2 linked regions of the Drosophila melanogaster genome follow. The protein of the gene in region 2 interacts with the protein of the main gene of each other region in a pairwise test. Each region holds a gene or a part of one and is shown on either strand. Other genes may lie near its edges. The genes, in order: CG9782 and CG18649.

Region 1 (7,934 bases), on a different chromosome or scaffold from region 2:
CCGATTCCTCAGCGGCGGCATCCTCCACCGCCTCCACGGGCGTCGCCTTGGCGGGCTTCGACAGCTTGCGACGGCTCACTGGGGATAGTTAAAGCGTTAGTTAGTAATGGATTTAATAACTTGATATAGAGAGATGATTTTAAAGATTTCTATTCTAGTTTAATGTCAATTATTTCAAAATTAGTAAATTCAGAAGGCACTGCTAGTCCATTTAGAGCAAAATCCTGGCCTAATCCCTGACTAACTTACATGCTGAGTTGCCCTTGTAGCCCTTGGCGGGACTGGATGCTGGGGCGGGTGCTGGCGCGGATGCCTGCTCCTCCTGCTCGCCGGAGTTGGACTCGTCGCTCTTCTTGGCCGGCTTGCTGGGACTGGGCGGCTTCTCGGCACGGTGCTTCTTCGCGTTCGCCTGACGGCGCTTCAGCGAGTTGAGGAAGTCATCGTTGGAGCGGAACGGCCGGATAACCGGGCCGACCTTTTTGGGCGCCTCCGTGGTGGTGGTGGTGGTAGAGCTGGCAAAGGACGCCTCGTCGCCCTCCTCGCCATGATCGCCGTGCTCGCCGGTTTCCTCGTCATACTCCTCGCCCTCGCCGCCGGCATCCGCTTGTGCTGGCGCCGCTGTCGTCGTGGTTGTCACCTTGGCCGCCTTCCCGACCGGACGGCGCAGGGCGGCGATTCTCTTCGCCGGCGAAACGGCGGGACCACCCTCCTCCTGAGCGGAGACCACTCCGTAGCACAGGACGCAGACGATGAAGAGCAGGCAGCTAAGTGGATTAAAAAAAATATAATAAATTATTAATAATTATATAATTATACTGCAATGAAACAAAATTATTTAATAATTCATGCCAATCGTATATAGCTCCTATTTTAAATACTTATGCTTTTACTCATTTAAATACTTTGAAAACTGCCAAAAATAGCTCATTAAAAACCATTGCCAAAAGTGGAACACCATTTAATTACTGAAATAATTTTCAAATGGTTAAAAAGACAAAAAACACACTTCCTTATACTTAAATTAAATTATACTTTAAATAAGTATTCTGAAGGTTTCTTGAAAAATTCGATCTTGCTATCATTAGTCAGTAACATTAGAATTTAAATGCAAGTGCCTATTTGTTGCCATGATTAGATGCTTAAATATTCAAATTTTACATAAATCAATACTGAATTGTTGCCATTAAAATCCCATTGGTTGTTTATACGAACAATGTTTCGTTAATTACGAGTATTATTTACTGGAATAACTTGAATTTCGAAGTCGCTGGTGCAATGTACCGCTCGACTTTCGAATCGATACGAAACGGATCTATTCGAATCGATTCAGTGATGGAATGGCATCTGGTGAATCCCCCGGGCAAGGTTGGCCAACATCTACACGCATCTAATCCTCGTGACTTCCAGCTCGAACCCAACTCTTGGGCGATCGGACGGACGGGACAGGTCTGGTTGGACGGGTTATTCAATACAGAACCTGAAGTCGTAAATATTGTGTACATAAAATACATATGTGCCCGCCCCTACATATACAGTGGAAACTCTTTGAATGATACGACAAGAAATATGGTAATTAACTGAATAAGAAGCATGAAATTATAATAAATTTAGCAAAGTGAAGATCTAAAACAGCGATATTCAATCAACAATAGGCTTATATGCTTGCAAAATCAGCAGAATTTGTTCTCACTTTTAACTCTATTTAGATTTATCACCTGTAAAGGTCGTAAAGAGCTGGATTTGTTTAGGCTAATAATTAATATTTATTAGTAGTTGCCATTCGGGTTTCCTGTAAGATTTGCTATTTTATTTTTGTTTTTTTTTGTTTTTTTTTTGTATACTTTATGTCGCATGCTGACGGAGGACAGAGATGTGCTAACAAATATTAATGTGTAAAGGTCAGACAAACGGGTTTGTTCACTTTCGATTTCGATTTGGATATGGATTTCGCTTTAATGCCGAATTCGAATGCGAATGAATGTTGCTCCGTATCTGTTGTTGTTGTTGTTTCTACTGTATATATATATTTTTTTTTCCTTATTTCTTGCTTTAGTTAACCACTTTTTATTTCTCTTTGCCGCTGGCGACGATGGCGGCGGCTTCAGTGAGTCAAGTCAATTGCTCATATTTTATGCAAAACAAAAGACTTAGGCAGCGAACTCGTTTTGAAATTCTTTCCTATGGCAACGCTTAAGTCGAGTGCTTTGTTGTTATTGCCGCGATGAGGGGGTGGCCAGAGGAGTGGAAGGTTGGGGGAATGGGGTTGGTACGGCTGTGCAGGGCGTTGCGGTGGGTGAGTGGCCAAAGGAAACAGGTGCTTATGCAAAAGGCAGTCAACAGCGCCACGAGTGGGGCGGGGGAAACCAGTTGGTGGCAGCCAGCACCACGCCAGAATATATTTAAGTGCGCGCTCACAGTTGCAGTTGGCTAATAACGGTAAAATGTGCAAGCCAAGTTTTATTTTTAGCCAACACACATAGCACCGTTGTTCATTTTAATTATTTCTACTCGATTATCGTATCGCTCGTTTCATTTGCATTCGAGCATGCTGCATTTCCCCCATTGGGATTTATTTGCTTATGGGGTCAACTGGATTGGCTTTACATGTGGGAATACATGTGGCTGTGGATATCGATATGAACGTGGATGTAGCTATGGAGATGGCCCAGTTAAGCGACAATTATGCAACTGGCAAAAGGTGAAAGGCGTGGGCCCAAGTTGTGGGTGCGTGCCCGGCATCTTCAACATCCCAGCGACTCCAGCGACTTCAGTTCAGTGCCCAGAGGCGTGCCCAGAAATATTTCTCAAGGGGGCTTGGGCCAACGATTTTCTCTTCGGGTCGTTTAGATCTTTCATTTTGAATGGATCGATCACGTTTTGAATAAAGCTTTTCTTCACTGGTTTAGTTTAGTTCGGTTTAGTTTGTTGCTTATAAACTCACTCATTGTTATTAGTTAATTTCCAATATTTATTATACCATTGTTTTATACGCAAGGCAATATTTGGTATTTATGTATCTGTGGTGTGGGGGATCATATGTCAGTTCTGCAAGTGCTGGGTTTTCCATGACATTTGGCTAGGCACTGGGCATAGAGCATCTCGCAACCGGTTCTCCAGCGGATTGGCCAACGGGAACAATGGCAGGGCGCAGACGACGCCAGTGCGCAGTCCACACCCACAAACAATCCGTTGGGTGGACAGGTAGATAGATGGGTAGGCAAATGGATGCGGCTGGTACGGCGGTACACCGGCAGACGGGCACATTTCTGGTCGCCGTGGGCTGTTTTTAGTGCCAGCCGGTGGTTATATAAGCCGACATTAGTTGCGAATTTATGATAAGCAACTCGCGTTGGCGAGAATTTCGTGGATCAGGCGGAACCACTTATTTAATGCAGCCTCATCGTTCGGCCTCATTATCATCCTCATTTAAAGAGCTTGGTCAACAAATTGGTTTGGCTCTTAATTTATTTCATTTCATTTCGCTTTTGTTTGGTCTCCTTTTGTTTTCCTTTCGTTTCGCACTCTGTTTTGTTGGCTTATGCTGCTTATTTTATTTATTTTTTGTTTTTTTGCCTTTTTATTTCGACTTAATGGGCTGACGTCATTGGGCCTACTGCGGATATGAAAGAACTTCCACACTCAAAAGCAATTTATGCAGCATTAAAACGATTGGTTGTCTTCAAGTTTTAAGAAGCGGAAGTTGCTTTGCTTGAATTATGTATGCATTTCGAGTTTTTGTCAAATAAAAGCTGAAGAAAAACTATAAACTGAAGTCTAGAGGAAACCCATTTAAATAATGTCTTAAAATCTGAAACTATTCGGCCAATATTTCTAAATGTAGAGAAACCTTTTCAAAAAGAAAAAATGCCTCTTGAAAGTGTTGATCTTGAGCTGGGCTCAAAGTTTCCGTAACGAAATGCGACACCTGCCCCAGTTAAGCCATGCACGTTTTCTAATTGCCCTGGAGACCTCATTACGCGTCCACTACCAGCATGCACCTTTGCCCCCCCCTACGGGCCACACCCCCCAAGCCCCCGATCAGATAGTCCCCCCCCCCATTTGGACCATATGTATGTGTAGCCACTTATTACGGGCCAAACGTGCACATTCGACACCGAATCGGATTCAAATTCGAATTCAATTTGATTGTAACTGCTTTTATTGCTGCCGCGTTGGATCAAGTTGAAGTCAGCAAGCCAGTTAAATTGGATGGAGGTTGGATGGGGGTTTGGCCTGGTGAGTTGTTCCAAAATTAAGGCGAAAAGAGCCGATTGGCCGCTTGAGGCAAGTGGGTTCAATAACGGTGCATTGTGTCGTTGTTAGTTGGCCAAGTACGTGTTTTGGTTGCTTTGGTACGTGTTTTTACACTACTACTACTACTTCTGGCTGGCTGGCTGGCTGGCTGCATGCCAAATCGATCGAGTTCGCTGCCTAAGTCTTTTGATTTGGCCCAGAGTGGTATTTTGGTGTTTACGTTTTCGGTATCGCATTGAATTCGCTTTGGCCCATGAAGTGCAGCACATATGTATATTACTCATACACACACACACACACACACACACTGCCAATTTTGCGACTCGAAAGTCCTTGAATCTTGAATGTTGAATCTTGAAGGCATCGCCGTGTATTTTCATTTCTTTTATTTATTTAAAATAAATTGCATAATACACCATGCCGGGGAAATGGAACGGAAAATCCTGATTTAGCCGTCTGCCTGCCGACTCACCTACCAACTCCAACTCCACCTCTCTCCTCGCCATTTCCATGTGATTAATTCCATGCATACAACGCTGCGATTAACACATATAATACATACATATATATATGTATATATATATACACACCCCATTCGAGTGGTATTGCATTTATGCAGATATGCGGTCTGTCTGTCAGCTCGCATTAAAAGTGCAACCGTTAATTTATAAAAGACAACCGCGGTAATTAATCCAATATACTTAATTTGCTGCAGCTGCGAAAAGTCGAGGAAAGCGGTGATCTGGTGATCGGGTGATCTGACGATCTGAGGCGTTGAGCGCATCCACTTCGAAAGGAGGAGCCACTTTAGCTGGCGACCTTGAAACATGGAGCAGACCCCATACCATCACCCCCTCTGCTGTCGCCACTGTGATCGCCTTTTACGATCTGAAGCTTTAACTTTTGCCATTTCTTTGCCGGCAAAATGCCAGCCTCACATCCCGTGACAACTTCATCACATCATCATCATCATCATCGTCGTCGTTGCAATGCTGATCATGGTGATCATCGTTATGACCAAACTTTGGCATTTTAGCCACAGCCACGGAGCTCGGTTCAGTTCCAGTTTGAAGCCACGGCATGTTAAAGTTCAAATTGGCATTAAGACGAGCTTACCTACACCTGCATGTGGTTGTGCCCCATAAAGGTTGCAAGTCAACGTGCTACATGCAACGGAGTCGATTGCCAATGCATTTCGACGGTTGGCAACTAAGTTGGGATTTCGAAAATTAAATATATGTACCAAAGAAATTCGAGAAGTTTAGCGTGCGTGGTGGGCTATGCAAATCAAGCTCAAAGTGGTTCGATTAAAATATTCTTTAAATATTTTTAATTATAAAATGTGTCTATTAATAAGTTACTATTTCTGTTCCAATGTCCTGTTCAGTTTTATAACAATCACTTGAAAAAAAAAATACGATCTCTCCTCATCGGTCACGAAACAATATTTAATATTTTGAAATAAATATATACTATATATTTTTGGATCACTCACATGTTGAAGTACTTCATTTTGTCTTGATGTGTGTGCTCGTGCGTGTTTTTCGATGCGTGGGGAGCGGCTTTGGACCAACAACAAAATGAACTCGAAACGCGCGCGTCTTAAACTTAAACTAGAAAAAAAACACTTGTGTATTTATAATTGATTTTATATATTTTTTTTTGAGGGAGGGGGGCGAGGTTATCGGCTTCTCTGCTAGCGAGCGGTACTGACGACTGGCCACGATCACGATCGACTTCTAGAGGCAGACTGAACGTTACTTATGCCGTGTGCACACAGTTAACCTACGGCCATCCAATATTTTGTGGCAGCGACGGTGACTTCGACGGCGGCAGCGGCTGCGCAACAGGTTCAGACCGCCCTAGCCAAACCGCCTGCCTGCACCTCCAACCCGTGGCCACCGCCTCCTCCTCCTCCTCCGCCAGCGACTCCCAGCCCCTCCACTTCCATCGCCGCCTGCGCTCAAAAGCTCTTTTTGCTTTTGCACGGCGCGAAAAATGTGGTAAGAAACGTCGAATTCTAGCCATACTTTCATCTATAGTCATCAATCAAGCAAGGCATGCGAATTCTTCAGAACTTTTCCTTTTTGCCATATAACATATATGCTTAACTTAACTTTGGTCTGTATTTGTATCAAATTACAAATGCAAATTCATCAGGACTTATTTAGTCAACTGTATAAACTATATTTATACATTCAATTGAATGTGTTTAATATATGTATGTATCCATGCTATATATTTTTAGGAATATATAGAAGTTTATAATACCGCAAATTACTTAGTTATGTGATTACAGATTACTGAAGTTTCCTTGCCATCCTTTCCTTTTTTGTGGATGTGAGCAAAAGAATAATTTTTAATTAATTAAAATTAATTTTAAATTAATTTATGCCGACGTACTTCACATATTCCCTGAATTTTTCCACTAACAAAGAAAATTCCTATGCCCCTTCAATGACATCATTGATTAAATTAGTTTGTATAATTTAACATTATCTACCACCCGCCAAGCTGATATTAAAAATGTAATTCCTGATTTTTTCGCCTTGTGTGCCCAAGCGCCTCGATGGTCGATCTGTGCTGGCAGGAGTACTTCTGGTTTTTCGGAGCCAATTTGTCACGGGCCTGGGCTCTGGTTATGACAGGTTTTTCGTATCCAATCCACTCCAATCCCAGCCAAGTCAAGCCAATCCAATCTGAGTCGAGCTGAGTTGAGTTGAATTGCGTTGAGTTGAGCTGAGCGGAGTGGAGCCGACTCAACATTCGCAATTTGTATATTTTATTAATTAATTTATTGATTTTAGGCCAATTGTTGTTTTGCCTCTTTGCCGATCTGGTAAATCCCGATCGAGCTGACCAACCAATCCCCGAAAGCAGCCGTCCCGCCCGTTGGCCAAAAACACACATCTGTGCCGCATGTAAATCGCTAAGTTCGCGTTTAAAAATTAACCAAATCAAGTCAGTTAATTATCAACGATATGCAAATACCCTAGAAAGTGTAATGAAACAAATTTCAATTGACTTTTGGTCACATGTCAAATGAATTTTTCCACATTAAAAGTTTTCCTTAATAAGAAAGTGAAATAAATACAAATATTAATTTACATTAAATATTTTTACAAGCATTAAACTCTTTGAAGACTAAAATCACTGGACCTCAAATGCAAGTTAACAACTGATCTTTGAAAACTTCAATGAATCTCAATTCTATGGCCACCAAATCCAACCGAAATCCATCTGCAAGTCTGCGGGCCCTGAGTCAATTTAAGGTATGGAATGGCACCAAATTAAAAATCCGTAAAAGCTGATAAAGCCAGAAATATTTATGCATATTTTGTGGGTTCGTCGCGGCCTTGAACTGATTGATCAGGAGTGCTGCAGGGGGGGGGGGGGGGTCAGGGGCGGGGTCTGTAGGGTGATGGCTGCATATGTTTAATGGGTGACAAAGCTGATGGGCGCTAATTAATCTTCCACACCCATCAGCTAACGATCGCTTTGAACTCTTGCAGATGTTCTGCGGCCAGGTGTTGATTTTTTGGCGGCACTTGGCTCAATGGGACATACTAATTAAGCTCCAAGATCCGAGATGCGAGCTCCAAGCTCCAAGCTGTGAAGCCAGCCAGCCGTCTGGCCAACTCACCTTGAACTACAAAATGTCAGCCAAAATGGCAAAATAT
Region 2 (3,356 bases):
CCAAAAAACGTATTTAAAAGTTTTACCCTGAATAAGTTTTATTTTTATTTTCTTTATTGGTGATTTATCAGTTGCTCATTTCATATTTTGTGTTTGAGAAATTGCATCGGGGGAGAATTTCTAAATATTTTTGTATTTTCGAATTTAAGCCGCTGATGTTGTAGAGCACCAGTCAACTGGGGCTTTTGGGTTGACAATAACGATAACTTCTCCACTTGGATGGGGAAGTGGGCTTGCACTCACAAAGGCCATGGCCAAAAGAGCAATTATCACGAGTACCATCAGAAAGTGCATCTCTATTTCGTAGACTTAGTTCTTCTTTGAATAAGTTTTTTCAAAGTACTGCACTTCTTATATATGAATGCCGTGTTTGCTTTAAAATTTCTATTGCAAACTGCACAATGGCTGCACCTTACTAATGTTAAGTAAATATTTGAGAGATAAAACATTTATTGATCTATTGAGCCACACATTACAGGCAGAAAATTATTTCTTTTTCCCTGCGCTGAAATAAGAGTATTAAGAGTGGCTTTGAGGCCAATTAATTAAATAAAAATTGCATTTTTAAGATTTTGTTTAGTATGTAATTCTTTACAAAATCATTTAAGAGCTGTATAAAAAGAAGTTAAGTAAAAAGCACCAATTATGATGGGTGTTTCCAGAAATGTGTGTATTTACTAGAATAACATAAAAACCTTTACTTATTTGGTTGTTGAAGATGAACTGTGTATTTCTGTGTAAACAGTTGTTTAAACGTCTAACGACCGGTGAAAGCGTGTAGATAAAGACAATAAAGAATAGAAAGGGTTAATTCCCATTAGAGCTACTCTTCATCTTGATTGTACTGGATGCTCTCGTCGCTTTCGGAATCATCATTGTTCTGGGAATCGTCCTCCGGGGATTCAGGCTCATCTAAGTCGTCGTCGGACTCGGGTTCATTTGAATCCTCATCGTCTTTCTCATCATCGTTAGCATTATCCTGCTCATCAGCAATTCGTTTGTCCTCCTCGAGGTCCTCCAAGTCGTCAATGTCCACCGGATTTGCGGAAACTGTGGCCAAAAGCACACATCCAAACAGGGCAAGCAGCAAATAGGCACGCATTGTATTGTCAAATTTAGTTTTCAACTAAGTTCAGTTCCACATTGAAAATACGCTTTTATAGCAAAATCTCTAAATTGGCAGAAAAATAAAAGCGCGCATTGTGACAATTTATTTGGTTCGTTTTGTGTTTACCCCGCGACAGCTGTTGCCTTGGTTTGAGCGTCAAAAAATGAGGCAAAGTCGTGCGTAAACATTTGACTGACGGAACTTGGAGAACGTATAAAGATTACAGTGAAACGTGGCTAACGTCATACTTTTATATACAATATATTGTATAACCTAAGGAAAGCAAACACAGCATGTTATAATCCATAGTTAACTTGCTTATGAAAATGTCTATATCAAATTAATGACTCCTTTTTATTTCTTTGTAGAATAACCACTGTTCCACCTACAATTGTTTACAAATTTTGGGAATGGCCCTCCATATTCTTATTTTCTGATTCATAGCACATTAGCTTGTTTTGCTCCGCTTACTCGAAACTTCTTAATATTTACTCACATGTTCGGTGTCGTATTTGTGGTAAGCCAAAAACAATAACTACTTCTAACTAAATATATCGTAGGCCATGATGGAACCTTGACGATTGTTAGCATAATGTAATCATGTCACAATAAATCGATCGATTTGGACAACTTTTTAAAGATATAAAAACAAAGATAAGCTAATTGAAAATCATAGTCTCAGTTGCACTCAGCCTGTATACTTTTGATAATCATGCAATCCATAGCATTTGCTCTTCTGATCTTTGCCGGTATCCTTGCCTATGGCAATGCAGCTCCCCAGATGAATTTGGGTTGGCTGCAGGCCGTCCTGGCAGAGGCTGGTCAAAGGAATACGACGGTTAAGTTTGGAAACAACACGGTGATCATTACGGGAGTGTCCAATTCCGTTGCCAACAGCAACCAGGGAAATACTACCCCATCGTCACCACGTAACCAATGGAACAACAATTGGTATCCGTACTATAACAACGGTTACTATCGCATCATGCCCACCATCAATGGTCAGATTGTCGAGGGTCCACAGTCCAGTGCAGAGGAATCCCACGAGATTTCCCAAGAGTTTTCTCATGAGATTTCCCAGAGTGACGAGGAATCTGGCGAAGATCAATACCACCAGGAGGATCAAACTGAAGAGGACGAAGACGACAACGAAACAGATCTTTCAGAGGACCAGCTTGATGACCTAGAAGAGGATCAGCTCGATAAAGAGAAAGAGTTGGAAGATGGCCATGACCAATCCGAGGAAGACAACGAAAATGAGGATGAACTGATCGATCCCGAGGAAGATGCTATTGACCAGGTTCTAGATGACATCGAAAAAGAGATAGCCGCTAGGGAAAATGAATAGGCACTGAGCCTTATTGAAAGTTTTCATAAAAAACCACTCCACTACATGTTACATTATTTTCATTTCATATTTTTGGGATCAGTCATTTATAAAAATAAACAGTTTATTAAAAAAATGGATTTTTATTTGAAGCATATTTTTAGACGAACGATATAAAATTCTTTTTAAAATAACGCAAATTTTAAATTTCCATAAATTGTTTAGAATTGAAGAAAACGTAATATGTTTTTCCAATAATTTTCTGTGACAAATTAAATGTTCTTAAAGAAGCCGCAATCATAAAATTTCAGCTTAAGTTGCTTATTTGCGTGGGGCAACTGGAAAAACGTAATGATGTTTAGTTGAATGCACAATCTGTGAAAAAATCTAGGAAAGTGAAAGCAGTTCGTGTTGGAACATCCAGATGCCATTGGAGGGAGCCCAAGGACGAGGACAGCCATTGACGACTTGTGCGCAATTGTAAACAGTTCCTGGAGGCGGTTAAAAGGGAAGAAATGTTGCCAACGAAGGAGTCAACAAGAAGGATAAAGGTAAAAGTGGCAACGGCAGTCAGGTGCTCGTCGAACATAGGCGAATTGCATTATAATGCGGCGCGTGTTAGTAATTTTTAATGCTGACAATGAGATTATAGATTTACCCAGAACGGATAAAGACATTCAATTTCTTTTTTTTTGCATTGGGTTACACTAGGCCATATCTTTTACGATACCAAAAATTGTGAGCGTGGCACCGCCCCTTATATTTAATTTTGTTACCAAAATATCTTTAAGGTAAAACCAAATATTCGGGATCAATTTTTGACCGAGTGAAAAAAGTTTTTGCAATGTTTTTTAATCTGTCCTCATTATCACCAAATACTGAATGAGCTATTGAGATTTTATATATATCCAGTATTGTCTG

The links.
Region 1: the proteins of CG18649 (region 2) and CG9782 interact in a two-hybrid assay, tested with the Drosophila melanogaster proteins (one large-scale study listed by BioGRID).

What each region holds. Positions count from the first base shown.
Region 1 is NC_004354.4:16,615,581-16,623,514, forward strand, and holds the start of CG9782 (uncharacterized protein), read right to left. Parts: upstream 6,010-7,934; 5' UTR 5,767-6,009; coding exon 5,750-5,766; intron 765-5,749; coding exon 250-764; intron 79-249; coding exon 1-78.
Region 2 is NT_037436.4:15,053,002-15,056,357, forward strand, and holds CG18649 (uncharacterized protein), read right to left. Parts: upstream 1,135-3,356; 5' UTR 1,103-1,134; coding exon 824-1,102; 3' UTR 567-823; downstream 1-566. Other genes in the region: CG43680 (uncharacterized protein), read right to left, coding at 145-294; EAChm (enhancer of acetyltransferase chameau), read left to right, coding at 1,821-2,456.